Pelodiscus sinensis: one gene and its partners. The protein of the gene in region 2 purifies or fractionates together with the protein of the main gene of each other region. This does not show direct contact. Links are inferred from orthologs where the notes say so. Each region holds a gene or a part of one and is shown on either strand. Other genes may lie near its edges.

Region 1 (7,030 bases), on a different chromosome or scaffold from region 2:
CGTGGCCCCCAGCCCTAAAAAGGTTCCCTGCCTCCGTTCTCCATAGTCCCCTGTGCATCACTGAACCTATGTGGTGCCTAGGAGTGGCAAGTCTGCCTAGGCTCACGGTCCGCCCCGGTGGTGCCCCTATTATACGCAATTCCTGCTCTCCTCCAGCAGGCCCTTTTGCGCGAGCGCTCCCAGGGGAATGGAGAGGCGCTGCATGAGCATCCCAGCCCACGGCAGGCCCACCTCAACAAGCACCACCCCCATCCTCAAATGTATGGTCCAGTCCCAAGTCTCCAGAGCGTACAGGGGCTGAAAGACGCCAGAGGTCATGCAGAGCGCTGAGGCAGTAGACACACATCACTATGGCCCGGTCTTTTCACCAGCCGGTTTTGTGATTTTACCCTGCGGGAAGGACCCTAGGGGACTGGCAGCCTCCTGCTTCATTCCTCTTCCCTATTGACAGGGGCAACTGGGCGTCTCTTGCAATGGAGCCAGAGGCTGCAATTCGTGGCAGATGGTCGCTTCTTCAGAGAGAAGGCAGGGAGTGCTAGCCCTCTGGCCAAAGGATACCGCTCAGGGCCTGGAGTAAGTGTACCACACCCTCGTTGTTCCAGGCCCTAAATATTTCAGGGTATGTCTACACTACCCTCCTAATTCGAACTAGGAGGGTAATGTAGGCATACCGCACTTGCAAATGAAGCCCGGGATTTGAATTTCCCGGGCTTCATTTGCATAAGCGGGGAGCCGCCATTTTTAAATCCCCGCTGGTTCGAACCCCGTGCCGCGCGGCTACACGCGTCACGGAGTAGCTAGTTCAGATTAGGCTTCTAATCGGAACTAGCTGTACTCCTCGTGGAATGAGGAGTACAGCTAGTTCGGAATAGGAAGCCTAATCCGAACTAGCTACTCTGTGCCGCGTGTAGCCGCGTGGCACGGGGTTCGAACTAGCCGGCATTTAAAAATGGCGGCTCCCCGCTTATGCAAATGAAGCCCGGGAAATTCAAATCCCGGGCTTCATTTGCAAGTGCGGTATGCCTACATTACCCCGCTAGTTCGAACTAGGAGGGTAGTGTAGACATACCCTCTGTGACCATCTCCCACCCATATCCGTCAACAGCAGTGTTTCTCAACCAGGGGTACACATACGCTTAGGGGTACTCGAGAGAAATCTGGGGGGTACGTCACCACAACTGAAATTTGGAGAAAACTGAATTTTGTTTGTTTCACAGTGCTTTATTATTGTTGTACTTTTTACACCCAAAAATGTCATCACTCCCCTGGCTATGATGAAGTTGTTTAAACAAATGTGTTGCAATGGTAGAAAAAAATTGTGTGTCTGAAAACTGTAGGTACTGGGGGTATGTATAATTTTTTTTAAAGGGGTACTTTATAAAAAAAGGTTGAGGAACACTGGTCTACAGCCGTGGCTCCCAACCTTTTTGAGGATACAGACCCCTCTTCAATCTATTAAAATGTTACGGACCTCCCCAAACCATATAGCCCTGCTGACAGCCTGTACGTCCCTCGGCCCACGCTGCTTCCCGAGCGGCGTCCCTCCGCCTGCAGGGGAAGCAACACGGGTTAGACTCTGCACAGACCCCCCTACAGGGATCCGCGCAGTGCAGGTTGGAATTAGAAACCACTGATCTGCAGCCGTGATGGCAACTGAGGTGAGTGACAGGCCTCCATCTCAGAGCGCCCCAGACTGTCGTAACCAAGATGGTCTGCTGGAATAGGGTATTTTTGCTAACTGCCCTAGCTTACCTACAGTTCGCAGGATGTGCCAATTGAATTGTAGCAGCACTTTGATTTGGCTGTGGAGGGGGCGCCCGGCTCTCAGTCAATGCTGTGTGCAGTCAGCACGCACCTCCCTTCACGGGCCCTGGCTTTCCATGCCTGTCACTTAGTAACACTGGTAGGAAAAATACAACCTGGATGGAAACCAGCAGAATCTAGCAACCCTGTGTGTGGGGAACAGTCAACACAATGTTGCTGGTCTGCAGTAACCAAAAGGCCGGAGCGCTCTTGGCTGCTGTACCCTAACCCACCTCACCCCAGCATTCCTCTTTGTCAAAGAACACGCCTGTATGAAACGTACGTGATCTACCCAAGGCCAAAGCCAATGGCTACTGGCAGGCTGCAGTAGTGGAGGAAGGCGGCGGGTATACTCCCATGGGCAGGAGGGGAGCTCGGATTTGTGGCCTGATTTATTTCATTCATTATTTGCCTACGAGCTGGCTTTTTGGCTGCTGGGTGGGGATCATTTGTGCCTGCAGGACTTCTTCATTGCCAGGGCTGGGGCTCCAAGAGGCATTTCATAACGGGGTCTGTATTTTACACTAGGGTAACAATCAATATTGCAGCCACCGGTGGCTCCCAAAGGCCCAAGAACCATCTCCTTTGCAGCATGAACAGGGCCTGCGCCGCCTCTGTTAAGTGTCAGTGATGGGCTGAGAGACACCCCCACCGCACCCCGAGTCTGCAGAGCAGGCTGGCTGCTCCTGCCATGGGCCTGGCTCTACCCTCAGTCACTGGATCCTCAGAACTGCGCTGGGGCTCAGAACCCTTCACACAAGGAGCGTGGCGGGGAGGGACTGCCAGAGGAAGGGGAAACAGTGTACAGTGGGGGAAAATAGGGGGAGGGTGGGACCAATGAGGGATGATTTAGAAGGTGGAAAATTTGTGTGGGGAGAGATTCAGTGGGGTCCACTAGGGGGAGGAATTATGGGCTGGGACCAGAGGGGGGTACTGTGGGATACGTGGGGAGGGGGTATGAGTGGGACCAAATGGGGTTTTGTGGGGTACCTGGGGAGGATTAAGAGGTGGGACTAGGGAGGATTTTGTGGGGTACCTGGGAAGGGGGTTGGGTGGGACCGGGGGGAGGTTCTGTGAGGTACATGGGGAGGGGTTATGGGATGGGACAATTGGGGTACATCTAGATTACATGCCTCTGCCGACAGACGCATGCAAAATAGGCTACCCGACATAGTCAACGAAGCGGGGACTTAAATATCCCCGGCATCATAAAAATAAAAATGGCCGCCGCGCTGTGCCGGCTCGGCTGATCGTCGGCACAGCGCGCGAGTCAAGACGTGGATCGATCAACAAGGGAAGCCTTTGTCGACCGCTCCCTTATGCCTCATGAAACGAGTCAACAAAGGCTTCCCCTGTCGACCGATCCGCGTCTTGACTCGCGCACTGTGCCGACGATCAGCCGAGCCGGCACAGCGCGGCGGCCATTTTTATTTTAATGATGCCGGGCATGTCATCTAGATGTACCCTTGGGGGTCCCGTGGAGTATGTGGGGCAGGGTTATGGGGTGGGACTGGGTTAAGGTTCTCTGGGGTACATGGGGAGGGGTTATGGGGTGAGACAATTGGGGGTTTTGCGGGGCCCGGGCGGAGGGGTTATAAGGGGGACCCGGGGGGGGGGTAGCGGGCCCGGGGGGAGGGGTTATAAGGGGGACCCGGGGGGGGGGTAGCGGGGCCCGGGGGAGGGGTTATAAGGGGGACCCGGGGGGGGGTAGCGGGGCCCGGGGGGAGGGGTTATGAGGGGGAACCCGGGGGAGGTTATGAGGAGAGACCCGGGGGGGGGTAGCGGGGCCCGGGGGGAGGGGTTATGAGGGGGAACCCGGGGGGGGGGTTATGAGGAGAGACGGGGGGGGGTAGCGGGGCCCGGGGGGAGGGGCTATGAGGGGGCGGGGGGTGGCGGGCCCGGGGGGGAGGAGTTATGAGGGGGGAATCCGGGGGGGTAGCGGGGCCCGGGGGGGGTTATGAAGGGGGACCCAGGGGGGGTAGCGGGCCCGGGGGGAGGGGTTATGAAGGGGGACCGGGGGGGGTAGCGGGCCCGGGGGGAGGGGTTATGAAGGGGGACCGGGGGGGGGGTAGCGGGCCCGGGGGGAGGGGTTATGAAGGGGGACCCGGGGGGGGTAGCGGGCCCGGGGGGAGGGGTTATGAAGGGGGACCCGGGGGGGGTAGCGGGCCCGGGGGAGGGGTCATGGGGGGGTTGTCGGCCCGGGGGGGGTTATAGGCGGGGGGGACCGTTCGTGCCCGGAACGTTGCGGCGGGGCGGCGGCCGCGGGCGGAAGGCGGGTCGCGGGCGCAGGCGGGAGGCGGCCGCTCGGAACCGGCCCCGGAGCAGGCGCGGGAGGCCGGGCGGGGCCGGCAGCGCCATGGCGGAGACGATCGTGAGTCGGGGCCGGGGGGGGGCAGCGGCGGTTTGCGGGGGGGGCCCGAGCCGCCCCGTCCCGGGCCCCCGCCTGCCCCCCCCACCGCCCCGTGGCGGGGGTGAATTCCTGCTGCTGCTCTGTCTCTAGCAGCGGACGGCCCCCCCCCCCCCCGCGTCCGTTGCCCCCCAAGGGAGGGGGCGCCTCAGCTGCTGCTCCCGGCCGCGGCGGTCACGTGAGACCCTTCAGCCTCCCCCCGACTCAGAACCCCCCCCCCCCCCCGAAGCGAGGCCGAGGGTTCTCACCGGCCCCCAGCCCGGCTCCAGGCCCCCCCCCTCCAGCCCGGCTCCAGCCTCCCCCCATCTCCCTCCAGCCTTTAGCTTGTGCTGGCGGTGCGGGAATGGGGATGCTCTGCGCGTTCTAGTCGCGGCGGGGATGGGCTGGGGGGGAGGCACCGAGTCCCCTGGGACAGTCAAGTGCGAGGCTTTGCACGTGCCTGCAGTGCCGGATTGGTCTAGTAACTACCCGCCGGACTATGACTTCCCTCTTCGCCCCCATTTACACTTCACTGCCATAGTCTGTGTCCACACGGCGCAGGGAAACTCCTGATCCCAGTGCAGATGGTGCCTAAACCCTTGTTTACTCTTAACTTTTTTTTTTCTTAAAATTCTCCCACCAGTTCTGCAGCACGTGTTCTAGAAGGGGTGAGAGTACTGATGTTGGCCCAGCTGCCAGTATGTTTACCACCATGCTCTCTAGAGCTGGTCTAGATGGCATTGGGATGAAAATACTTGTGTCCAGGAATGGCAGTGGGAGAATTTCCCAAAGTCCTCCAAGTCAAAGGCCCCTTTGGCTAGAGGCAGAGCCATGCTAAAACTCTGAAAGCCACCTTCTGGCTTTAGCCAGCATCTAGGTTAGAAAGCTTTTCTTCTAATGCAGTTTGGCTTTGTCTCCACAAGAAGTTATTAGCCATGCTAGAAACTGGTTTAACTGGAAGGGTCTATAAACACAGTTCCTTTACTCTTCGTAAAGGTCTATCTCAATAGGCCTGTAGCTTGCCTGTTGTTAGGAGCAATCTCTTTTGTTTCAGGGATTGCTAAATCAGTTGATCTCTTGTTGTATGCCTCGGTGTCCCCATCCGGCTCCCTTATTTTGAACCTCTAGCCCGCACTTCTTGATCCTTTAGTCATTATTTGTCCCAAGAAATCAATTGAACATGGGTCCAGTGTCCCTCCCATAAGGTTGGGGAGGGGCTTTTAGAAGGTGGGCGGGCTTCGCCCGCCCACCATCCCATGATTTCAAATAGGCCCAGTAGGTCATTGGCCTCTGGTGTGTTCTTCCATGTCAGTCATCGTTTTGCCAATGGAGAGAGAACTGGGTGTAGAAATTGACAAAACAAAAAAAGTTGTTTAAACTGTTTGAAACAATCTGGAAACTTGTGACAAAACAGATTTGTGTTTAGTTTTTCTTTCTAAAGCTGTCAGGCAAAACCTCCTTTCTGACGCTTGCTGTTGAAAACAAGTGTCTCCATTGACTTCCAAAATCACAAACATCTACCTTACTCTCCTGTAAGGTACATCACCCAGGAGTTAGGCCCTATCAGAGCAACTATGGTGAGACAGCAACTGGCAGCTCTCTTCCTTTCAGCATCTGGACATTACTGATAGTACCTTCCTCTTAGCATTTTCTTGCCTCACCCGAGTAGCAGCAAACATCTTTTTTAACTGAGTTCTGGCAAAGTATTCCTTTTCTCCCCTTCATGCTTCATGCTAGTTACTGTGACATTGGTGTTGGTCTTGTTTGAAATGCTGTCCAGAGCTGAGGACACCAAAATAAGGAACACAGCTGATTTGTCATCTATTTCTATGGAAAAGGTTTGCATTAAGACCTGTTGGTTTATCTCCCTGCCGCTATGCTAGTGCCAGGCAGTTAAATGTTCAATTGTCTGCTCTGATTTCTGACTAATTCCAGTGCCACCTAGGAATTATGTGGAGACATCATCTTCTTAGTCATGGGCAGAAAAACTTCATCATCCTTGGTCCCATTAGCCCATCCAATATTCTCAATAAGCCCCAAAAGTGGGAGAAGCTTGAACATTTAAAAATATGTAGAGTCTTATTTTGGCATTCCTAGGCTGAGTAAATGTAAGCAGGGGCCTTTCCAATCAGGAAATGGAATGAGGGTTGGGGTTCCGTGTGTGTGAAACATCAAAGCAAGGCGGGGTCACCCTCAATCCTTATGGTGCACCCTGAAATGTACTGTGATTTAATCTGGCCCTCTGTGTTGTGCTCACTTCTCTGCAGGAAGATACAGTGCAGCAATTTAAACAAAATCATCGTCTTTTACAGGCATTCCTTGTTTCTCGCATGCTCCATGTATTCACCCAGAACTTTGGCGTTGTAATACAAAATAACTTGGAAGGAGAGCATGCTGGAGCACTCTGGTGGCCTTGTGCTGCGCCCTGCTGTCCTTCCCAGGGGCACATCGGTGTGTGTAATAGTATTTGCCGCCGCGTGACCCTTCACTGCATGTCCTGCTGCTTGGTACTTTGGTTTGAAGTGCAGGCTGAGCGTTAGTCACTTTCACACTCCGGAGAAGCGTAAGACATCCTGATGGTTGTGTCCTGATCCATAGCCAAGCCTGTCTTTATGGGAACAATTGCCTCTGGCCCCTTTTCCCAAAAGCAGGTGGCTTTGCACATCTTTCCAGTGGAAATCCTATTAACATCTCCCAGTAATGCCTTGTGCCTTCATGACTTAATTCTCTTAGTCTCTTTATTGGAGATAGATGCCAACTGTCAGTAATGTTGAAATAACATTGAAGATGACCCTTAATGCTGCAAGTTAGTTCAGTCCTTCCGTAAAAGAACTTGAGAGG
Region 2 (7,824 bases):
ATAATTATAGTCAACGTTCACAAACAAAGCTTCTGGGTAACTGACGTTCAATGCCCTGTGTTATTTAGGTCAGATTACATCATCAAAAGGGCCCCATCTGGCCTTAAAAAAATGACACTTCTACTTAGTCACCATTTTCCAACAAGACTACTAGAATAAAATGGATTTTGTTTGTAAGATAAGCCATTTTGAAAACACTTTTCCAAAGTGAGATTTCCCATTTTCTTAATCACAGCATCGCCAAATCATCTTGGCCAATGCTACTGTAAACGAATACTGGAATGTATAATTTCAGGCAAGCAGCCTAGTTTTAGTGAAGTTAATGGTGCGGACTCAGAATGCTTAACAGAATACCAATCTCTCCATAAAAACACAACAAATGGTCTGGTAGCACTTTAGAGACTAACAAAACATGTCGATGGTATCATGAGCTTTCGTGGGCACCGCCCACTTCTTCAGATGACTGGAGTTAGAAGAAGTGGACTGTGCCCACAAAAGCTCATGACACTATCTACATGTTTTGTTAGTCTCTAAAGTGCTACCAGACCATTTGTTGTTTTTTTCTGTAACAGAGTAACTTGGCTACCCCCTGAAGCTCCTGAACATACAATCTCTCCATAGTTACTTATGTATATCTTTAACATTTGAGCATAGCATTTACAGATAAGTGACTGAACCATGCCTACCTATGTATCTAACAGGAATGAAAAACATCCAACCGGTTAAACAAATTGTTTAATCGGCTAACTACTGGTCACAGGTGAGGGAGCTGTTCTGACCCTGCTAGCCTGCTGCAGCAAGGGTCCTGCTTCTCTCAATGGCTGGATCCTCCAGTTAACTGGTAAGCACGCCAATAAGGCTAATGCTTACTAGAGAACGGTTTAATCTTTTATATCCCTAATATCTTTTTCCAATACCATCAAACTGACAGAGATAGCTTTGTAGTTAAAATACAGTATTGTGAACCTGAAGATCGGGAGTTATTTCCTATTCTGACTCTCACTATTATTATTTGTATTGCAGTAGTACACAGGAGCTCCAATCATGGACCAGACATAATCACATACTTCTTGTGTGGCATTGGGCAAGTCACTATGCCTTTATAAAATGGGACTAACTAATCTGCCTTTTGTAAACTGAGATAATTAAGAGCAGGGATGGGCAATAAGCCAGAGGCAGATTATCAGCCATTTATTTACCTACACGTCTGCAGGCATGACGGCTTGAAGCTCTTGTTGGATGCAGATCACCATTCCTGGCCAATGGGAGCTGTGGGAAGTGGCATCCCAGTCCACGCTGCTTCCCATGCCTCCCATTGGGTAGGAATGGCCCATTCACGGCCAACAGGAGCTGAAAGCAGCCATACCTGTGGAGGCACAGGTTAATAAAGCACCAGTGACCCACCAAGGGCTAACCGTAGGGAACTGTGTCTGGTCCATGGGCCACTTATTCCCCACCCCTGCTTAAGAGTCATAAACCATCAAGCTCTTCAGTAGCAAGGTGCTACTGAAATGTGAAGCAGCTGTAGAGTTTGAAGCATCAACTGAAGAATACTGGCTAAAGGTGAACATGAAAGTTTGGAAAGCAGGAGAGTAGACCATCAACATGATCCAGGATAACAGTCCCAGTGCTTAGACTGTTTATGGCTTTACAAAACAGCCTCCAACTGAAAATATAATTAATAGAAATTACAGTTTATGCCAAACTCTTTACTAGAGTTAGCTTTGTTGCTGGCAACAGGTTTCTGAATAGCTGCAATTAAATTAATTGGTTTCTCGATAGCCATTTTACTGAAGAATAAAATTCAGAAGCAGCACAAGTAGTGCTGGAGTTGTCTGTAGACTCAGACTGACAAAATCTATGTAATCGTACTTGGAAGATGAATTGGGTAAGGGGTGTGACTGACTAGTCAATTATCCCATAAGCAAATGCTCATTGGATAGTGGATACGCTAGTTGCTTCCCCCCCTTGCTGCCTCGATCAGAAAGAGGTGGGGGGAAGGGGAGAAGAGGTGAGGGTGCTGCAAAGTGGCAGCGCCCGGTGGAACCCTGGAATGCTGTGCACAGCCCGGGGGCTCCATGCAGCACTGCCGGGAGCACGGGGCCAGCGGGGGGTGGCTGGAGTCCCAGCGCTTCGGGGCACGAAGTGCGGCCTGGCCCTGTGCCAAGTGCACGAGGCGCCGATCGGCCAATTCATCCGCATGGAACGGGACCCCCCCCCCGGTGTGTGGAACCGGCCCGGTGCCCCCCCCCGCGAGGAGCGCGCTCCAGGGGCCCGCCCTGACCGAGGCGGAGGCTCCGGACACGGCCCGGGGCGCGCGGCCCCTGTCCCCGGGCGGGCCGCCTCCCCGCGGGGCCCCTCCCGCCAGGCCCCGCCACGCGCCAGCGAAGCGACTGACTCGGCCCCGCCCGCGAGGAAGCCGCGAGCCCAGGCCCGCGCAGAGGCCGGAGCCGGCCCCGCAGCCCCCCCGCAAAGCGGGCCCGCCGGGGGGGGCCCGCTCCAGCGACCCGCCGCCCCCCCGCACCTGGAACTGCAGCAGCTTCTCGGTCTGCTCCGCCGTCAGCTCGCGCTCCTCAGGCGCCGCCATTTTGCCGCTGCCTCTGACCCGCCGCTCCGTCACTCTCCGGAACTGACGTCGCACGCCGCCCCGCACTTCCGCCCCTACGTCGCGCCCCTACGGCGGGCAGGAGCCGACGCCAACGGCCGGCCGGAAAGGGCCGAGCGCATCCGGAGATGCCCGAACCTGGCACTGGTTCCACGTGACCTCCCGGCGGAGGCTCCCGAGCGTGGGACGCAGCTCTGCGGAGAGCCCTGGGAGCCGGGGGTTCGAGACCGGCTGCCGGCTCCCTGCCGGGCCCACGTGGGGGAAAGCTGCCCCCGCCCAGGCCTTCGCCTGGCTCCACGGGAGCCTGGTTCGAGCCTGCCCCAGGCGGCTGGGCGTCCCTGCGCAGTGTTCGGGGCTTGCCCGTCTCGCCACGGACCCGCTTGTTTCTACACTTCCTACCCCTCAGCGGATTCCTTCGTGCCCGTGGGAATTAACCCCCCCCCGGCCCAGGCTGCTCCCCCACTCCGGAATTCACCCCCCCCCGGCCCAGGCTGCTCCCCCACTCCGGAATTCACCCCCCCCCCGGCCCAGGCTGCTCCCCCACTCCGGAATTCACCCCCCCCCCGGCCCAGGCTGCTCCCCCACTCCGGAATTCACCCCCCCGGCCCAGGCTGCTCCCCCACTCCGGAATTCACCCCCCCCCGGCCCAGGCTGCTCCCCCACTCCGGAATTCACCCCCCCCCGGCCCAGGCTGCTCCCCCACTCCGGAATTCACCCCCCCCCCGGCCCAGGCTGCTCCCCCACTCCGGAATTCACCCCCCCCCGGCCCAGGCTGCTCCCCCACTCCGGAATTCACCCCCCCCCGGCCCAGGCTGCTCCCCCACTCCGGAATTCACCCCCCCGGCCCAGGCTGCTCCCCCACTCCGGAATTCATCCCCCCCCGGCCCAGGCTGCTCCCCCACTCCGGAATTCATCCCCCCCCCCGGCCCAGGCTGCTCCCCCACTCCGGAATTCACCCCCCCCCGGCCCAGGCTGCTCCCCCACTCCGGAATTCACCCCCCCCCCCGGCCCAGGCTGCTCCCCCACTCCGGAATTCATCCCCCCCCGGCCCAGGCTGCTCCCCCACTCCGGAATTCACCCCCCCGGCCCAGGCTGCTCCCCCACTCCGGAATTCATCCCCCCCCCCGGCCCAGGCTGCTCCCCCACTCCGGAATTCACCCCCCCTCCGCTGCTCCCCACTCCGGCTCTGCCCGTGCACAAGGGGGGGGGGGGCTTGTTTAAAACGGCTCCCCAGTGCCGCACTCCCTGGTACACCGGACTGCCCCCCCAGTGCAAAACCCCCTTGGGCGCCCAGAAAGACGCACTCGGGAATTTCTTCCTGGGGGCACCCCGCGTTCCCGAGCCCTTCCTCGGGGGAGAGCTGGGAAGAGTAGCCGGCCTTCAGTCCCCGGGGCGCGCCCGGACCTGCAGGACGCGGGGACCGCAGCCTCGCCAGGGACAGCTGATTGGCGAGAGCGCGCCCCGCACACCCCCATCTGCCCCCATCTCGCACCAAAGGCCGGGGGGGGGGCAGGTGTCCCGTGCCGGAGCGGCCGGGCTGCGGTCCCGCTTGGGGCGAGCCCTCCCTCGGGGGGCGGAGAGCGCCGGGCCTCGCGCCCTGCACAGGCTCCGCGGCCCTTCGCTGGCGTCCCGCTCCCTCCTCCCGGCCCGCCCCGGCCCGCCAGGCTCCTCCCGCCGCCGCAGTGACAGCTGCGCCCGGGCCCCGCTCCGGCTCGGCTCGGCTCCGTGCGCGGCGCCAGCATGGCCGAGAGCTGCGGCCGCTTCTCGCCGCCGGAGAGCGCCCCGGAGGAGGACCCGGCCGCCGCCTTCCTGGCCCAGCAGGAGAGCGAGATCGCCGGCATCGAGAGCGACCCGGGCTTCGGGGCGGCCGCCGGGGGCCCGGAGCAGAGCCCCGAGACGGGGGGTGAGAGCGGAGAGCGAGCGGCCTGGGGTGAGAGCGGAGAGCGAGCGGCCTGGGGCCCCCGGCGGGCTATGCCCCCCTCGGGGCTGAGCCGGGTCTGCCCCCCCCCCCGTGGGGAATGGTCCCGTCGGGGCTGAGCCGGGTCTTGCCCCCCCCCCGTGGGGAATGGTCCCGTCGGGGCTGAGCGGGGTCTGACCCCCCCCCCCCCCCCCGGTGGGGAATGGTCCCGTCGGGGCTGAGCGGGGTCTGACCCCCCCCCTCCGGTGGGGAATGGTCCCGTCCGGGCTGAGCCGGGTCTGACCCCCCCCCCTCCGGTGGGGAATGGTCCCGTCGGGGCTGAGCCGGGTCTGACCCCCCCCCCCTCCGGTGGGGAATGGTCCCGTCGGGGCTGGGCCCCCCCCCCGTGGGGAATGGTCCCGTCGGGGCTGGGCCCCCCCCCCCGTGGGGAATGGTCCCGTCGGGGCTGAGCCGGGTTTGGGCCCCCCCTCGCTGTATCCAGCTGGAACCTCTACTGGGGGAGGGGAATGACCCCCAGGGCTGGGGCCCAGGCTGGGGTGGGGAATGGGCACCCTGGCGGCTGGTCCTGGCCTGGGGTCCCTGCTGGGGGTGGGCAATGGCCCCCCGGGGCACACTTGCTCTCTGCCCCTCTGCTGACTGTAGGTGATGTGACGGTGGCTGCCTTTGGCTTGACAGGCAGACCCCCCCCCCCCCCCCGGAGCACACCCCGGTCTTGGCTGGCTGGCCCAGCTGCGAGGAGGGGGCCCCGGGAAGGCTCAGAGAGCCCAGCCGCCTGGAGGGAGCCGGGTAGCGGCTGCTCTGTCCCTTGGGCCGCAGGGCCGTGGTCTCCCCGGGCGCGTGGGCATTCCAGTTCCCTCTCTGCCACGCATGGGGGTCGCTTGCCTGCCGGGGAGCAGGGCTCTCAGGGTTCCCCGGCCCCGGCTGTACAGCACTTGACGCTCTGGCCTCGGCCCAGCGCTCTGTTGCCCTGGAGCTCGGCGGTCAGCGTGCCAGGCTGCCCCGGCCTGAGTCCCTGGGAGGGGCTGGTGCTGCTCGCTCTCCGGACAGCTTACTAAAGAGCGGGAGGCAGCCATCCCCTGGCCTCCACTCCTGCCCCGTGGGCCTGGACTGATGTCCCCCAGCTCTGCCCTGCCACCGGCCCTCTGCAATGGGGAGGCAGCTCAGTCCCTGGGGAACTACCGGGCCCCACACGCTGGCTGGGGCTGCCCGTCACACATGACACCAGCTCAGCAGGCCTGGCTCTCTAGCCTGGCCGAGGGATCCGGCAGCCGAGTCCTCAGCAGAGCCTGACGCCGGGCCCAGGGAGGCACCGGGAGTGGCAGCTGCAAATGCTGCCTGACAGGATCCAGCAGCCAGGAGCCTGGGTGTAGCCGCCTACTTGGGGTGTGAGCGAGCGTGTGGGGGGAGGAGAAGGGCGGCTGGGGCTGTGCAGGGACAGGAAGCAGCAAGGGGATGGAAGGCCCTGCTGGGGCTGGAGCAGCTGGCAAGATGGGAGTCTGCGTCCTCACCGTGCCCATGTCCTGCTGCCCCTCCCCAGTAGCCTCCCCTAGGGTCCTGAGCTCAGCTGGGCTGTGGCTGTGGCCTGGCTGGGTTCCCAGGAAGGAGGCTGGGAGCCCCAGGGGTGGTCTGACCCATGCCCAGCTGCACTGGCGGCATGAATCCAGGACACGGGGTCTCTCCGGGCTGACTGTCACCCAAGAGAGCCCAGAGCCCACTAGATGGAGGCAGAGGCCTCTCTCGGGTGCGCCATCACCCCTCCAAGCCTGTTCCACTGGCTGGAATCTGGCTCCCCTCCGCCCCAAATCGCCTTCAGCGCTGCTGGGATTATTAGTGGCATCCGAAATAATGAACGTGGGAGACGGCGAATGCAGCCAGGCGTTCCTTCCCGAGTCCCAGCGCCACACGCTGCTTTATGCCATTGCTCTCAGCGCGCCTGACCACCAGGCATAAGCACCAGGGACCACCACAGCGTACTCCCAAGCACGTCCTTGGTACCTACACATGGGCCAGCCTAGGGAACCGGACTCTGCTCCTGCAGGATGAGGCTGGGTCTGACAAGGCACCCTCGGGTTCATCACTCTCTGTGCCTTTAAACTAAGGGCTGGGGGAAAGCCGATGGGTGCGGAGGAGACATGGACTGGACAGAGACATCCCTTAGGGGAAGTTCTATTAATAGAGATGCTCTGTGTTCTCAGCGGGAGGAGAGGATGGACGTCTGAGTCGGATCAGATGAGACACAATCAAATGAAAAAGTCGAACACATCAGGAAATGGAGATAGATAAATAAGGACCCATTTTTAAAGTGCTTATACACAAATGCTAGAAGTCTAAACGGTAAAATGGGTGAACGAGAGTGCCTAGATTTAAAGGAGGATATTGATATAAAAAGCAACCTGGAAACTTGGTGGAATGAGGCCAGTGAAGGGGCCCCGGCATACCAGGGTCCAAAATATATCGGAAGGACGGAACAGGTCCTGCTGGTGGGGGAGGGGCACTATACGTGAAGGAAAATGTGGAATCAAAGGAAGTAAAAATCTTAAATGAGCCAAAATGTTCCATAGACTCTCTCTGGCCAGTAATTCCATGCTCCAATACTAAGACTAGAGCAGTAGGGATATATTACTGACCCCCTGCTCAGGACCGTGCTAGTGACTATGAAATGCTAAGGGAGATGAGAGAGGCTATCAATTTAAAAAACTCGACAATAGTAGTGCGGGATTTCAACTATCCCCGTAGTGGCTGGGTACACCTCACCTCAGGGTGGGATGCAGAGATAGCGTGTCTTGATACCGTAACTGACTGCGTCTTGGAGCAGCTGGGTCTGGAACCCACAAGGGGCGAGGCTAGTCTTGATTTAGTCCTGAGGAGAACAGAGGATCTGGTTCAAGAGGTAAATAGAACTGCACCGCTTGGCAATAGTGACCATAAGGTAATAAAAGTGAACATCCCAGTGGTGGGAAAAACCCCTCAGCAGCCCAACATGGTGCCATTGTATTTCAGAAAGGGGAACGACACACAAATGAGGAAGATAGTTAAACAGAAATTAAAAGGTCCAGTGACAAAAGTAAAATCTCTGCAAGAGTGCTACTGTGGCTTAACAGCCAGGTAAAAGAAGTAGCGACCAATAAAAAGGCATCTTTTAAAAGGTGGAAATCAGATCCTAGTGCGGGAAATAGAAAGGAGCATAAACTTTGCCAAGTTAAGTGTAAAAATATAATAAGAAAAGCCAGAAAGGGGTTTGAAGAGCAGCTAGCCAGGAACTCAAGAAGTAATAGCAAAATGTTTTTTAAGTACATCAAAA
Region 3 (7,753 bases), on a different chromosome or scaffold from region 2:
GGTGGAACGTAAGTTAGAGCAGCTGTAGGACTGGGCATGCCCAACATGTGTGGAGTGCAATTCTGGGATGTATTAGCAGGAGTGTTGTAAGAAAGACACAGGAAGTCATTCTTCCGCTCTACTCTGCACTGATTAGGCCTCAATTGGAGCATTGTGTCCGATTCTGGCACCACATTTCAGGAAAGACGTGCATGGAGAAAGTCCAGAGACGAGCAACAAAAATGATTAAAAATCTAGAAAACTTGACCTATGGGGGAAGTCTGAAGGAATTGGGCTTGTTTAATCTGGAAAAGAGAAGACTGAGAGGGGACATAACAGCTGCTTTCAAGTACGTAAAAGGTTGTTACAAGGAGGAAAGAGAAAAATTGTCCTCTTTAACCTCCGAGGACAGGACAATGAGCCATGGGCTTAAATTGCAGCATGAGCAGTTTAGGATGGACATTAGGAAATGTCAGGGTGGTTAAACACTGGAACAATGTGCCTAGGGAGGTTGTGGAATCTCCATTATTGGAGATTTTAAAGAGCAAGTCAGACAAACACCTGTCAGGGATGGTCTAGAAGAGAGTACTTAGTCCCGCCCACTATGCTGGCAACAAGTTCCTCTAGCCAATCCCTTAAGCCACTCATGTGCCTCCAATCTCTCCAGACTCACTGACTTTATGGTGCTCACAAGAAAATGGCTAATTATGGGCAGGCCAAGGGGCAGTCATGATAAGGTAGCAGGAGAGGACGGGTGGACCAGTCGTTAAGATGCTGCTGGCCTGGGAGAGCTGGGTTCTGTAACACAGGTGACCTCTGTGACACTTCACCAGCTGCATCAGACTTCACTGGAACAGTCACTTACACCAGTGGTCCCCAACGCAGTGCCCGTGGGCGCCATGGCGCCCGCCGGGACATTTCTGTGCGCCCACCGAGTGATCGGGACTGGTCCCATCCCCAGGCATGCAGTGCAAGGGCTTTGCTGGCCCCTGGGCACGCGGCGTATGAGCGGCACCGACCCGGGCGCCCGGTGAAGGCGCAACGCCGGCCCCGGCCCCGGGCCCACAGCACGTGGGCGGCGCATGGGCTGTGCCGGCCCCAAGCACGCGACGTATGGGCGTACCCACCCCTGGGCGCTTGGCTCCCCACCCCTGAGCAGCGCTGGCCCTGAGCACGCGGCATATGGGTGGCCCCGCCCCTAGGCGTGAGGTACAGGAGCGGTGGCAGCCCTGGGAGTGTGGCGCATGGGTGGCGCTGGCACTGGGTGCGCAGCGTACGGGTGGCCCCGCCCCCGGGTGTGTATGCGGCCCCGCCCCCGGGCCCATGTGTGGCCCCTCCCCTGGGTGCCCGGTGCGTGAGTGGCCCTGCCTCCGGGCACCCGGCAGTCCCAAAAGGTTGGGGACTACTGACTTACAGGATTTCCTTCTCTGCCACCTGCTGGTTCATCAGGGAACTGTAACAGGAAATTAAGTTTGGTGGGCCTCAGTCTATCCCCAGTGTGACGGGTGTCCACCCTGCACAGCCAGCACCCCAGCTGTCAATATCTCCTCCTTTCAGACAGATGAACATTAACAAGGATCTAAGAGTCCAGGGCCTCATGAAACTTCAGTTCAAGACCGTGCCCTTGCTACAGAATCTCTGTGCGACCATGGGCCACTCCCTTAATCTCTCCGTGCCTCAATTGTCCAGCTGCAAAACATGGTTTATAGCCTTACCTCCCACTAATGTCATGAGGATAAATATATTATAGACTGTGAGATGCTCAGCTACTGCAGTAAAGGGAGACCTATTATTATCTGCAGGGCAGTAGTGTGTGTGGTGGGGAGAAGGAAAGTCACGGATCAGGACCCCTTTGTGCTAGGTGCTGTACAAACACAGAACAGTCTCAAAAAGCTTGCCACCTTGTTCACTTTTTAGCAGGTTTGGCAAAGATGACAGGGACTGAGAGGCTCTGGCATCTGAGTGACCCCTTCGGTTGTAGTCCTCCTAGAACAGGTTTGAGGGTGGGAGGAATTAGGGATGCATTTCCTGCTGCTGACCCTCCTAGATATGTTCTCTGGATAAACAGAGGACTCCAAAATTTCTGAGACAGTCAAACTTTCACCACTTCTAGTCTATACAGGTTCTCACAGCTTGCTCATCGCTGTAGCATCTCAGCGCCTTTCAGGAGTGCACTAAGCAACGTTATTACACATCTGAAAGTGAAAATACACCAGTAGTGAAATCACATGGAAAACTACTCACCGCACCAGACATAGCCCTGGGCACATGCTTTGAGTATGAACAATCCAAAAGCCAGCAGCCAAGTATTTTCAGTGTCTCCTGGAACTAAACTACAACAGGATACAAACAAGTGACTGTAAATAAACGGAAATCTGTCATCTTGATGATGTGTCAGGTCACTTATCCAAAGTATTCCTGTGGCCCGCATCACATCGCAGCAAGCACTTCATCCTCTTTAATGCCGGTATTTTCACAGCACTCCTTGGAAAAGCTATTATTCTCATGTGGAATGGAGACACAGACACAGGCATGCTGAGGCTGCTAAAGAGCTTGTCTACCAGATCAGACCTCCCACAAAACACAGCTGCCCTTCTTACACTCCTTAGCTCAGTGGTTACATGGCCAATGCCTGCCTGAATCAGAGAAGGGACATGATCGCAGGTCTCTCCCCTCTGAGATGAGTGCCCTACCCAGTGGGTTAATGGTACTTTCTCAATCCCCACTCTTGAAGCTGGTCCACTCTGTAAATATGGAGAAATAAACATGACTTGAGCCAGAGAAAGTGACTATGTCTCAGTGTTTAGGGAAATGGGGGAGTCAGGCCTCTCTCAGCGGTACTCAGTACATAACCAATATGTTGTGACATGTCTCTCACATGGAACATACTGGGGTTGATGGGCCAAAGGAAGCGCTTGATAAGTTTATGGAGGAAATTATCTGAGAAGTTACATACAATGACATATGGCCCATCCACAACAGCTGTTCACAACTATCTCCCATGGCAGAAGAGGGGACGCTAGAGGGGGAGGCTTCTAAGTTACTAGAGAAATTTTCCCTCCAGTCAGATTGGCAGAGATGCTAGAGGGCTTTTTTCCTTCCCTCTGTGCTGTGGGGCACAGGACACTTCCCAGAACAAATGGCGGCTTTTCTCTAACTTGAATTTTCTAAATCAAGTTTTGAGGACTTCAGTAACTCAGCTGGTGATCATGGGCCTACTACAGGACTGAATAGGTGAGATTCTGTGGCCTGTGCATAGGGTCAGAATAGATAATCATGTGGGTCCCTTTTGGCTTTAAAGTCTTTGAACCTATGAGCAGCAAACTCTAGCATTTTCTGTCCTCTGCAGGTAATGCAAACTTCCTAATTTCATAGGTGAGCTCTTTGGGCCAGTGACTAGGTTGTTTACAACACCAAGCACCATAGAGACTTAATTGGAACCCACAGGTGCAATTGTAATCACCTCCCTGCAGATTTGAAACCGGGCTCTCTAGAGTTTAGTGTAGGAGCCGCTACAGCTTAAGCTATAAAGCCAGCTGGCTCTAATCTTAGGCTGTAGAGCTCACTCATTCTTTTCTCTCACTATAAGTGGTCTAAATGCCACTACATGGGACAGTGAACCACACACACGAGGGCCGTGTCTACACTGGCAAGTTATTCCAGAAAATCAGCCGCTTTTCTGGAAAAACTTGCCAGCTGTCTACACTGGCTGCTTGAATTTCCGGAAAAGCACTGACGATCTAATGTAAAATCATCAGTGCTTTTCCGGAAAAACTATGCTGCTCCCATTTGGGCAAAAGTCTTTTTCTGGAAAACTGTTCTGGAAAACGGCCAGTGTAGACAGCACTGTAGTGTTTTCCGCAAAAAAGCCCCAATCGCGAAAATGACGATCGGGGCTTTTTTGCAGAAACGCGCGTCTAGATTGGCCACGGACACTTTTCTGGAAAAAGTGCTTTTCCAGAAAAGCGTCCTGCCAATCTAGACACACTTTTCTGAAAATGCTTTTAACGGAAAACTTTTCCGTTAAAAGCATTTCCGGAAAATCATGCCAGTGTAGATGTAGCCTAGGTGTATGGATTACACAATCACAATATAAATTATGCACAAAAATAATGATTTCCATCTCAAACTCTGCTGTGCAGGTGATGGACGTGCCAGAGCTCAGAGGACAGAGCAGGGTGTGAAGGCGGAGCCCTATGGAGAGTCCGACAGTGCAGCCGTACGTCGATGTGGACAAGGGGTTTGCCATTGGGTTTGTCATCCTGATGTGCGTTTTCTTGATGGCCATGATCGTGAGGTGCGCCAAGCTGATTGTGGACCCATACAGCGCCATCCCCACCTCCACTTGGGAGGAAGAGCAGATCAATTGACTGACAATAAATAGGAGGAAAACTGGCTAATCAGTTCCTTGTGGGTGACTCTTTTGCCTCTTGTGGTCCCTGTAATCCCCCACCCCTGCACAGATAATGAAGATTCTGTAGCTTAAATTGTGCATTTGTCAGATTCTAACACTATTGATAATACCTGGTATCTTCCATCTAAGGATCTCAAAGCACTTGACAATTAATTCAGCTTCATAAGACTTTGGGGTGGTAAGTGAATATACTAAACTCCTTGTGTCAAAGTGTCCATGGCCAAACCAGGAACAGAAGTTAGGAGTCTTGACTCTCCTTATCTCCTTGACTCTCCTTGACTCCCCTTAGATTCTCCTAATCCTAATGCCTTATTGAGGAAGACAGGAGTAGCCATCTGGGCTGGCTGGCTCCGACAGCAAGCTGGAGTAGGAGATGGTTGCTTACGCCAAGCGGCCATCTCTACCGGAGCAAGAAAGTGAGCGCAGACCTGCCCACTCTGGTTTTCCTGCACATAGTCACGTGTGTACGATTGGAATGAGGGGCAGGATGTTTCTCTCCTGTGACATCTCAGCACAGGGTGAGTTCCTCAGCAAGATTTGAACGCTGAGCGCCAAGCCTCAGCCCACCAGTGCAGCGCCTGTCCCTCAGGCAGGGCTGCAAGAAAGCAGCAGTAGTAGGCTGTTATCCCCCACCCACGCGAGCCCAGCACTAGCCTCGTGGCCCATGTCAGGCAGCTACAGCCTCAGCTCAGAGGCTAGTGCCCAGGAAGCCCCTGTGAAGTGCGCAGAGTTGTGGCAGGGGGAGCCCGCACTCCTGGCGTCCATTCCCGGCTCTGCCACTGACTCGCTCTGTGACCTCGGGCAAGGCACCTCCCCGCTGTCCCTTTAAGATCTGCCGCAGCGCCCTTAACGATGTGTTCTCCCGGCGCATGCGCACGGACCCACACAGCCTGACGGACCCCTGGCCCTTTAAGAGTATATCCCAGAGGCACGCTGGGCGCATGCGCAATATCCAGCGGTGGGCTCGTGCCCCGCTCTCAAGCAGAGCTCACTTGTGCCTCGCGGGCTACCGTCACCGGAAGTGCTGAGAGGTTCCATCCGGTCTGCCCGCAGCCAACGGCTGCTCCTCAGAAACAGCCCCACCCCCCGGGCCCGGGGAGAGGTGAGGAATGTGGGCTCGGGGAACATGGGAGCGGGGGGGGGCAATGGGGGGCACAGATAGAGGGGGGCTCTGGGGGAGGGGGAAGGGGCAGTTGGGGTACAGAAAGAGGGGGGCTCTGGGGGAGGGGCAATGGGGGGTTCTGGGGGAGGGGCAATTGGGGTCCAGATTGAGGGGGGCTCTGAGGGAGGGGCAATGGGGAAGGGGCAGTTGGGGTACAGATAGAGGGGCAATGAGGAAGGGGTAGTTGGGGTACAGATAGAGGGGGGCTCTGAGGGAGGAGCAATGGGGGGCTCTGGGGGAAGGGCAATTGGGGTCCAGATTGAGGGGGCCCTCTGAGGGAGGGGCAATGAGGAAGGGGCAGTTGGGGTACAGATAGAAGGGGGCTCTGAGGGAGGGGCAATGGGGGGTTCTGAGGGAGGGGCAATGGGGGGCACAGATAGAAGGGGGCCTCTAGGGGCTACACGCGGCACAGGGTCCGACCTAGCTGGCATTTAAAAATGGCGCCGGCCGGCTTTATGCAAATGAAGCCCGGGAAATTCAAATCCCGGGCTTCATTTGCAACTCCGTATGACTACATTACCACCCCCTAGTTCGAACTAGGGGGGTAGTGTAGACATACCCATAGAGAGAGCAGGGAACCAACTTTTAAGCTAGCTTTCCACATGTATTGGCTCCCACCTGCTGCTCCCAAGGATCTGGACCGGGAGCCGCATGTAACCATTTGTGTAACTGATAAGCTCATGCTTACCTGTTACCCATGTAAACAGTTACACTCTTACATCCAAAATGTCCATATGCTTATGAGGTCTTATACTGCAGTCAGGTTGGTTAGAGTGGTACAATACTTATGCTGACATACACTGTGTGTGACCAGAGCCTTGGAAGCTTGCATGTTGTCACATATTTCTTTTATTGCTTTGGTTTTAGCAAAAATGGATTCTCAGGAAGTAACAGAGTTGCAGCAAGAAGTGATAGAGGAGTTGGGGATCTCTATGGAGGAGCTCCAGCAATTCATTGATGAGGAGCTGGAGAAGTTTGAGAGTGTGAAACAGAGGAAACAGCAGCTGGAAGAGCTGGAAAAGAGTGTGGAACAGAAAGAAGCAGAAGTGGCATATGTTGACCAGCTCTTTGATGATGCTTCAAGGTAGGTATACTTGCAGTGGCAACTTTGTGTTGAAGAGAGAGCTAGTGGAGGTAGCAAAGAGAATTCTAGAAGAGGGAACTGGGCATTAGGATTCTCAGGTTCTATTTCCATCTCTACCACTGACTTGCTGGACGATGTGTAGGCAAGTTTCATGCACTCAGATTCTTAGAAGTACTCATTAAGCGCGTGCACTTTGGTAGCTGTTTCGTGTAGTGGCTTTGAGTCCTTCGGGTTAGTTTGTCCAACCCCTAATTCTGGTTTGCTTACTTGGGCAAACTCGCAGTTCTGCTTAGTGGTGATAATGGCCACAATTGCTGAGTAACCCCTTAAAGTAGCAGGTATCAGCTGTGCAAAACCTTCTCCTCTTCCTGGGAGGAGTGGGGTATAATTATATTCATCTTGGATCTTTCTCTCTGCCCCTTTTTTCCCCCCTCAATATGTTGCAGAGCCATTGGTAAATGTGAGATACTGGTAAAAGATCTCTACTCCAAGCTGGGCCTTCAGTATCGTGAGAGCAGCTCTGAAGATGAAGAATCAGCCTCCAAGCCCATGGAAGTGATCGAAATCCCAGATGAGGATGACGACGATGTTATGAGTATTGATTCGGGTTGGAAGCGCAGTTCAGTGTTCCACGTGACATTGGGAAGTGGGTTGGAGGAGGGGGTGGGGAGATAAAAGCATATCCCTGCAAAGAATATAACTTTTTAACAGGGTTCAAAAAAGGAGCTAGATACATTCATGGAGGATTGGTCCATCAATGGCTATTAGCCAGGGTGGGCAGGGATGGTGTCCCTAGCCTCTGTTTGTCAGAAGCTGCGAATGGGTGACTACTGTCTGGTTCATTCCTTCTGGGGCACCTGTCAGGACAGGACACTGGGCTAGATGGACCATTGGTCTGACCCAGTCTGGCCGTTGTTATGTTTTAATATGAAGGGGGATGGGGAGTTGGTCAAAGAGCATCCTCAAGAATATGCATTAGGACTATTGTTTGTAAGGCTGTGCAGGACCGGATGGAGACTCCCATGGAGCCTGTGGGAAGTGTAATAAGAGTGGTGCTTGTGAAGTCAGTGCATTTGTTCCCTAATTGAAAGCAGTTAAATTGGGAAGCTCTCAT
Region 4 (6,934 bases), on a different chromosome or scaffold from region 2:
ACAACACACAATGAACATGTGTAACTCCTTGCCAAAAGATGTCGTGGAGGCCAAAACTAAGGCAGGGTTCAATAAAGAGCTAGACGAGTTCATGGAGGCAGGTCCATCAATGGCTGTTAGCCAGGGGAGTAGGAAGGGTCTCCCTAGCCTCTTTCAGAAGCCGGGGATGGGTCACTAGATGATTCTCTGTTCAGTTCATTTATTCTGGGACAGTGGTTCCAACTGTGCTCCTGGAGTCGCTAGCTAGAAGGCTGGTTTTCTAGCCCTTGGTCATTTGCAGGGCTCTTCTCTGAGCCTTCTGCCTTTGGACACCATCACTCTGTCCCCCGGCTGTGCTCGCTCACCTAAGCAAGAGCCTTGTAGAGTCTGGGGCTTGGTCCTCGTGGGGGCAGCCTGGGTGGGGCCAGTGTGTTGAGACGAGTCCAAAACTCCGGGATGCTCCGCCATTGATTCACCAGGCCTCTCCACTCTCAGGCTTTGATCCTCCTGCTCGTACTGCCTCCGGGGCCCTTGGTGGCTCCCCTGCTGGGGACCCTCCTGGACACAGGGCGATGCCTGGCGGGCCAAAGACCCCTCGCGCTGCACCCCCCCCCCCATGGGGCTGAGCCAGGAGACCAGCCTCCCCCCGGCCAGTGTAGTGGGAGAAAAGGCACATGGTGGGGGGGGGGGGGCTGAGCCCTGCCAATCACAGGGCGGGGGCCCCTGAGCCTGGCCAATCACAGGGCGGGGGCCCCTGAGCCCTGCCAATCTCAGGGCAGGGGGCCCCTGAGCCTGGCCAATACAGGGCGGGGGGGCCTCTGAGCCCTGCCAATCACAGGGCGGGGGCCCCTGAGCCTGGCCAATCACATGGCGGGGGCCCCTGAGCCCCGCCAGTCACAGGGCGGGGGCCCCTGAGCCTAGCCAATCACAGGGCGGGGGCCCCTGAGCCCTGCCAATCACAGGGCGGGGGCCCCTGAGCTCCGCCAATCACATGGCGGGGGCCCCTCAGCCCTGCCAATCACAGGGCGGGGGGCCCCTGAGCCTGGCCAATCACATGGCGGGGGCCCCTGAGCCCCGCCAATCACAGGGCGGGGGTCCCCTGAGCCTGGCCAATCACAGGGCGGGGGCCCCTGAGCCCCGCCAATCACAGGGCGGGGCTCGCTGCTATGGGGGCGTTAAGGAAGCGCCAGGAGCCGCTAATGAGCAGCCACGTGCCCCATCTTAACCAATCAGCGCCCCGGATTCTCTGAGCCCCGCCCTATCTGCCCTCCGTCCCCTAACTGCCCCACGCGCGCGCACACCGCAGGATTCCAGCCAGCCAGCGGACAGCGAGCCCCGCCCTCTCAGGTGCGCGCTCTTCCGGTCCCAGGCACCGCCCTCTAGGGGGCGCGCTTCGGCACTTCCGTGGTGGGCTAGACCTTAGTGAGGTCATGCCCGTGGGGCGGGACCACCCCTGTGACGTGAACGTGGGGCGGGGCCGAAGGAAGCCGGACGCAGCCGAGTCAAGACTGGTCCGCGGGTCGGTGTCAGGTGTGGGCCGGGGCGGGGGGGCTCTCTGGCTGCAGGGGGAGGGAGCATCCCCCGCCCCGTAAACTCCCCCCTCACCTCACAGCCCCGCCCCGCCTCACAACCCCTCCCTGCGTCCCATAACTCCACACCCCTGCCCCCTCCCCACCCCATAGCTCTGCACATTGCCCCCTGCCCCACAGCGTGGGTCCACACTCCCCCTCCCCCCAGTTCTCTGGTGGGGGGTGGCATCCAACCCTGCCACCTCCAGCCTGGGCTCCTCTTCTCACCTCTGCCCCTCCACTCCCACAGGCACCAGAGCATCCAGACCTGCACCTGCTGGCCGGGAACGTCCCGATGTGCCGGACCTGGAGGAGGCCAGATGCCCATGAGCCGTGAGTGCTCCGGCATGGCTCAAGCCCTGGCACTGCTGCTGCTGGGGCTGGGCCGCTGGACCTGGGCCAGCTGGGGGCAGCCAGCTGGCAGGTACCTGAGTGTGGGTGATGGCAGTGCCCTGGAGTTTGACTTCCCTGAGAGGAGCCGGGGTGTCATGGTCGTGTCCAGCCGGTACTTGGGCACCAATGGGACAGCAAGTGGTGCCCGGCTCAGTGCGGCCTCATTGGCACCTGCGGTGCTGACTGTGGAGAACGTGAGTGCTTTGTGCTGTGGAGCAGGCGGTTTCCTGGTGGCCATCCGCTCAGGCCCAGCTGGGCTGGCACCACTTCGGCTGCGCCTGCTGGACCAGCATCAGCTGGTGGAGGAGCGGGGCGAGTTCCGGGTGCGGGTGATGGCGAGTGAGGAGCCAGGGCACCCAGGCCTGGGCCACTTCTCAGAGAACCCGTTGCTTTATGCTCTGCTGCCCCTCATCTTTGTCAACAAGTGTGCCTTCGGCTGCAAGGTGGAGCTGGAGGCGCTGCGGGAGCTGGCGCGCCAGCCACAGCCCGTGCTCCTGGGCATTGTGGGCCAGTTTATTGCTATGCCACTCTATGGCTACCTCCTCTCGCTGGCCTTTGCCCTCCCCCCGGCGCTGGCACTGGGGCTGGTTGTCACCTGCTCCTCACCAGGTGGGGGTGGTGGCTACCTCTACAGCCTGCTGCTGGGTGGCAACGTGACCCTGGCGATTGCCATGACACTGCTGTCCACTGTGGCAGCCGCTGGGCTCATGCCGCTCTCCTCGGCCCTTTATGGGCGCCTGCTGAGTGCCCACCCCAGCCTGCACGTGCCCTTCGCCAAGATCGTGGGCACACTGCTCTTCATTGCGGTGCCCATATCGGCTGGGCTGCTGGTGAAGTGGAAGCTGCCCCGCGTGGCCCGCCTGCTGCTGCTGCTCATCAAACCCTTCAGTTTTGCCCTCATCCTGGGTGGACTCCTCCTGGCCTACCACATGGGAGCCGTCATCCTGGCTGAGGTGGAGCCCCCAGTGGTGCTGGCCGGGCTCACCGTGCCCCTCGTTGGCCTGGGGCTGGGTTACCTCTTGGCTGCCTGCCTGCGGTTGCCAGGCCCACACTGCCGCACAGTCAGCATTGAGGTGGGAGTGCAGAACAGCTTGCTGGCACTGGCTGTGCTGCAGTTATCTTTCCGCCGTCGCCAGGCTGACTATGCCTCCCAGGCCCCCTTCGTGGTGGCCCTGAGCAGCACGGCTGAGATGCTGGTGCTAGTGCTGGCCCATCTCCTCTACAAGAAGCTGCAGCCATCTGCCAGTCCCTGAGTGCCCCATCTGTGAGAAGGAATGGGTCCTGCTGGGGGCTGGGCAGCCCTAAGCACTGAGTGCCCCTCTACTGCAGGGCTGGGCTGCCCTAGGAGCTGAGCACCCTGCTGTTGGGGGGCAGAGACAGGCAGATTCAGGGACCTGCTGTACAAGGGGCTCACCCCAGGGGCCCCTCCCAGTGGGGGCAGTAGGAAACCAAAGTCTCATGTTGGGCCCCTGAACACCCAGCCTCATTTTATACTGTGTTTTCTGTGTGGCTGGCAATGGTCCTCAGGGAGGGGGCCACACAGGCTGTTAAGGGAGGGGAAGGGGCCAATAAAGGAGAAAGAGCAAGTTTGTGCATGGAGCTGTTATTGGTGGAGGCTCAACGCTGGTGCCATTCACAGCCAGCTTGGGGGCGGAGTCGGGGGCTGGGGGCGGGGCCAGTGGGAGGTCCCGGCTCTGGGGGCGCCTCTCTCTACTTGGCCGCTCTCCCCTCCCCCCGCAGAATAGACTCTATGGTGCTGGGGCCAGGCCAGAATAGTCGCGAGTGCGGCGGGGAGGGAATGTCCGCTCTATCCGCGCTGCGTTTGGATCTCTATGGTACAACAGGGACACTCTAGCCCTGCGCCCGCCGCGGCTCCAGTCTAGGCTACAGGAGCCAATGTTCGGGCCCGAGACTCTATGGTACGAGCCGCGGCGCACTATGGCCCCGGCCACTCTAGGCTCCAAGGCACTGACACTCTATGACACGTGACGCTCTACGCGCCTCTTCCGGCTCTATGGTTCCGTGGCGGTCGCTCTAAGCCCGCTTCCCTCCGGGCGTCTATGGTGCCGTTAAAGGGGCCGCTCCGGGCTGCGCGATGCTGCTCACGGTGAAGGCGCTTCAGGGCCGGGGATGCAGCCTCCAGGTGGGGGGGGCTGTCGGGGGGCGGGTTTGCGGGGGGGTGTCGGGGGGCGGGAGAGGAGGGTTTGCGGGGGGGGGGGTGTCAGGGATCGGGAGAGGAGAGTTTTGGGGAGGTGTGGGGGAGGCAGGAGAGGAGGGTTTGCGGGGGAGTGTCGGGGGCCGGAGGGGGAGGGTTTTAGGGGGGTGTCGGGGAGGCAGGAGAGGAGTGTTTGCGGGGGAGTGTCGGGGAGGCAGGAGAGGAGTGTTTGCGGGGGAGTGTCGGGGGCCGGAGGGGGAGGGTTTTAGGGGGGTGTCGGGGAGGCAGGAGAGGAGTGTTTGCGGGGGAGTGTCGGGGGCGGGAGGGGGAGGGTTTTAGGGGGGTGTCGGGGAGGCAGGAGAGGAGGGTTTGCAGGGGGGTGTCGGGGAGGCAGGAGAGGAGTGTTTGCGGGGGATTGTCGGGGGCCGGAGGGGGAGGGTTTTAGGGGGGTGTCGGGGAGGCAGGAGAGGAGTGTTTGCGGGGGAGTGTCGGGGGCCGGAGGGGGAGGGTTTTAGGGGGATGTCGGGGAGGCAGGAGAGGAGTGTTTGCGGGGGAGTATCGGGGGCCGGAGGGGGAGGGTTTTGGGGAGGTGTCGGGGAGGCAGGAGAGGAGGGTTTGCAGGGGGGTGTCGGGGAGGCAGGAGAGGAGGGTTTGCGGGGGAGTGTCGGGGGCCGGAGGGGGAGGGTTTTGGGGAGGTGTCGGGGGCAGGAGAGGAGGGTTTGCGGGGGAGTGTCGGGGGCCGGAGGGGGAGGGTTTTGGGGAGGTGTCGGGGGCAGGAGAGGAGGGTTTGCGGGGGAGTGTCGGGGGCCGGAGGGGGAGGGTTTTGGGGAGGTGTCGGGGAGGCAAGAGAGGAGGGTTTGCGGGGGAGTGTCGGGGAGGCAGGAGAGGAGGGTTTGCGGGGGAGTGTCGGGGGCCGGAGGGGGAGGGTTTTGGGGAGGTGTCGGGGGCTGGAGAGGAGGGTTTTGGGGAGGTGTCGGGGAGGCAGGAGAGGAGGGTTTGCAATGGAGTGTCTGGGAGGCAGGAGAGGAGTGTTTGCGGGGGAGTGTCGGGGAGGCAGGAGAGGAGTGTTTGCGGGGGAGTGTCGGGGGCCGGAGGGGGAGGGTTTGCAGGGGGTTGTCGGGGAGGCAGGAGAGGAGGGTTTGCGGGGGAGTGTCAGGGGCCGGAGGGGGAGGGTTTTAGGGGGGTGTCGGGGAGGCAGGAGAGGAGTGTTTGCGGGGGAGTGTCGGGGGCCGGAGGGGGAGGGTTTTAGGGGGGTGTCGGGGAGGCAGGAGAGGAGTGTTTGCGGGGGAGTGTCGGGGGCCGGAGGGGGAGGGTTTTAGGGGGGTGTCGGGGAGGCAGGAGAGGAGGGTTTGCAGGGGGGTGTCGGGGAGGCAGGAGAGGAGTGTTTGCGGGGGATTGTCGGGGGCCGGAGGGGGAGGGTTTTAGGGGGGTGTCGGGGAGGCAGGAGAGGAGTGTTTGCGGGGGAGTGTCGGGGGCCGGAGGGGGAGGGTTTTAGGGGGATGTCGGGGAGGCAGGAGAGGAGTGTTTGCGGGGGAGTATCGGGGGCCGGAGGGGGAGGGTTTTGGGGAGGTGTCGGGGAGGCAGGAGAGGAGGGTTTGCAGGGGGGTGTCGGGGAGGCAGGAGAGGAGGGTTTGCGGGGGAGTGTCGGGGGCCGGAGGGGGAGGGTTTTGGGGAGGTGTCGGGGGCAGGAGAGGAGGGTTTGCGGGGGAGTGTCGGGGGCCGGAGGGGGAGGGTTTTGGGGAGGTGTCGGGGGCAGGAGAGGAGGGTTTGCGGGGGAGTGTCGGGGGCCGGAGGGGGAGGGTTTTGGGGAGGTGTCGGGGAGGCAAGAGAGGAGTGTTTGCGGGGGAGTGTCGGGGAGGCAGGAGAGGAGTGTTTGCGGGGGATTGTCGGGGGCCGGAGGGGGAGGGTTTTGGGGAGGTGTCGGGGAGGCAGGAGAGGAGTGTTTGCGGGGGAGTGTCGGGGGCCGGAGGGGGAGGGTTTTGGGGAGGTGTCGGGGAGGCAGGAGAGGAGGGTTTGCGGGGGGGTGTCGGGGAGGCAGGAGAGGAGTGTTTGCGGGGGAGTGTCGGGGGCGGGAGGGGGAGGGTTTTGGGGAGGTGTCGGGGAGCCAGGAGAGGAGGGTTTGCAGGGGGGTGTCGGGGAGGCAGGAGAGGAGTGTTTGCGGGGGAGTGTCGGGGGCCGGAGGGGGAGGGTTTTAGGGGGGTGTCGGGGAGGCAGGAGAGGAGTGTTTGCGGGGGAGTGTCGGGGGCCGTAGGGGGAGGGTTTTAGGGGGGTGTCGGGGAGGCAGGAGAGGAGTGTTTGTGGGGGAGTGTCGGGGGCCGGAGGGGGAGGGTTTTAGGGGGGTGTCGGGGAGGCAGGAGAGGAGTGTTTGCGGGGGAGTGTCGGGGGCCGGAGGGGGAGGGTTTTGGGGAGGTGTCGGGGAGGCAGGAGAGGAGGGTTTGCGGGGGAGTGTCGGGGGCCGGAGGGGGAGGGTTTTGGGGAGGCGTCGGGGGCAGGAGAGGAGGGTTTGCGGGGGAGTGTCGGGGGCCGGAGGGGGAGGGTTTTGGAGAGGTGTCGGGGAGGCAAGAGAGGAGGGTTTGCGGGGGAGTGTCGGGGAGGCAGGAGAGGAGGGTTTGCGGGGGAGTGTCGGGGGCCGGAGGGGGAGGGTTTTGGGGAGGTGTCGGGGGCTGGAGAGGAGGGTTTTGGGGAGGTGTCGGGGGCCGGAGGGGGAGGGTTTTGGGGAGGTGTCGGGGGCAGGAGAGGAGGGTTTGCGGGGGAGTGTCGGGGGCCGGAGGGGGAGGGTTTTGGGGAGGTGTCGGGGAGGCAAGAGAGGAGGGTTTGCGGGGGAGTGTCGGGGGCCGGA

Evidence for each region.
Region 1: the proteins of FAF2 (region 2) and NPLOC4 purify together in Homo sapiens (affinity purification with mass spectrometry; 3 studies listed by BioGRID and IntAct, with this or other methods). This does not show direct contact. The link is inferred for Pelodiscus sinensis from reciprocal best matches to the Homo sapiens genes FAF2 and NPLOC4.
Region 3: the proteins of FAF2 (region 2) and SETDB1 purify together in Homo sapiens (affinity purification with mass spectrometry; 3 studies listed by BioGRID and IntAct, counting the BioPlex papers as one, with this or other methods). This does not show direct contact. The link is inferred for Pelodiscus sinensis from reciprocal best matches to the Homo sapiens genes FAF2 and SETDB1.
Region 4: the proteins of FAF2 (region 2) and UBL4A purify together in Homo sapiens (affinity purification with mass spectrometry; 3 studies listed by BioGRID and IntAct, with this or other methods). This does not show direct contact. The link is inferred for Pelodiscus sinensis from reciprocal best matches to the Homo sapiens genes FAF2 and UBL4A.

Annotation. Positions count from the first base shown.
Region 1 is NC_134730.1:27,376,567-27,383,596, forward strand, and holds the start of NPLOC4 (nuclear protein localization protein 4 homolog), read left to right. Parts: upstream 1-4,014; 5' UTR 4,015-4,159; coding exon 4,160-4,174; intron 4,175-7,030. UniProt on the Homo sapiens protein: The ternary complex containing UFD1, VCP and NPLOC4 binds ubiquitinated proteins and is necessary for the export of misfolded proteins from the ER to the cytoplasm, where they are degraded by the proteasome.
Region 2 is NC_134727.1:41,027,041-41,034,864, reverse strand, and holds the start of FAF2 (FAS-associated factor 2), read right to left. Parts: upstream 3,018-7,824; 5' UTR 2,588-3,017; coding exon 2,525-2,587; intron 1-2,524. UniProt on the Homo sapiens protein: Plays an important role in endoplasmic reticulum-associated degradation (ERAD) that mediates ubiquitin-dependent degradation of misfolded endoplasmic reticulum proteins.
Region 3 is NC_134734.1:21,839,460-21,847,212, forward strand, and holds the start of SETDB1 (histone-lysine N-methyltransferase SETDB1), read left to right. Parts: upstream 1-4,751; 5' UTR 4,752-4,766; coding exon 4,767-4,911; intron 4,912-5,339; exon of another isoform or gene 5,340-5,495; intron 5,496-6,065; exon of another isoform or gene 6,066-6,318; intron 6,319-6,422; coding exon 6,423-6,639; intron 6,640-7,085; coding exon 7,086-7,258; intron 7,259-7,753. Other genes in the region: CTXND2 (cortexin domain containing 2), read left to right, coding at 4,176-4,349. UniProt on the Homo sapiens protein: Histone methyltransferase that specifically trimethylates 'Lys-9' of histone H3. H3 'Lys-9' trimethylation represents a specific tag for epigenetic transcriptional repression by recruiting HP1 (CBX1, CBX3 and/or CBX5) proteins to methylated histones.
Region 4 is NW_027465910.1:144,059-150,992, reverse strand, and holds the start of UBL4A (ubiquitin-like protein 4A), read left to right. Parts: upstream 1-3,926; 5' UTR 3,927-4,035; coding exon 4,036-4,083; intron 4,084-6,934. Other genes in the region: SLC10A3 (P3 protein), read left to right, coding at 1,895-3,193. UniProt on the Homo sapiens protein: As part of a cytosolic protein quality control complex, the BAG6/BAT3 complex, maintains misfolded and hydrophobic patches-containing proteins in a soluble state and participates in their proper delivery to the endoplasmic reticulum or alternatively can promote their sorting to the proteasome where they undergo degradation.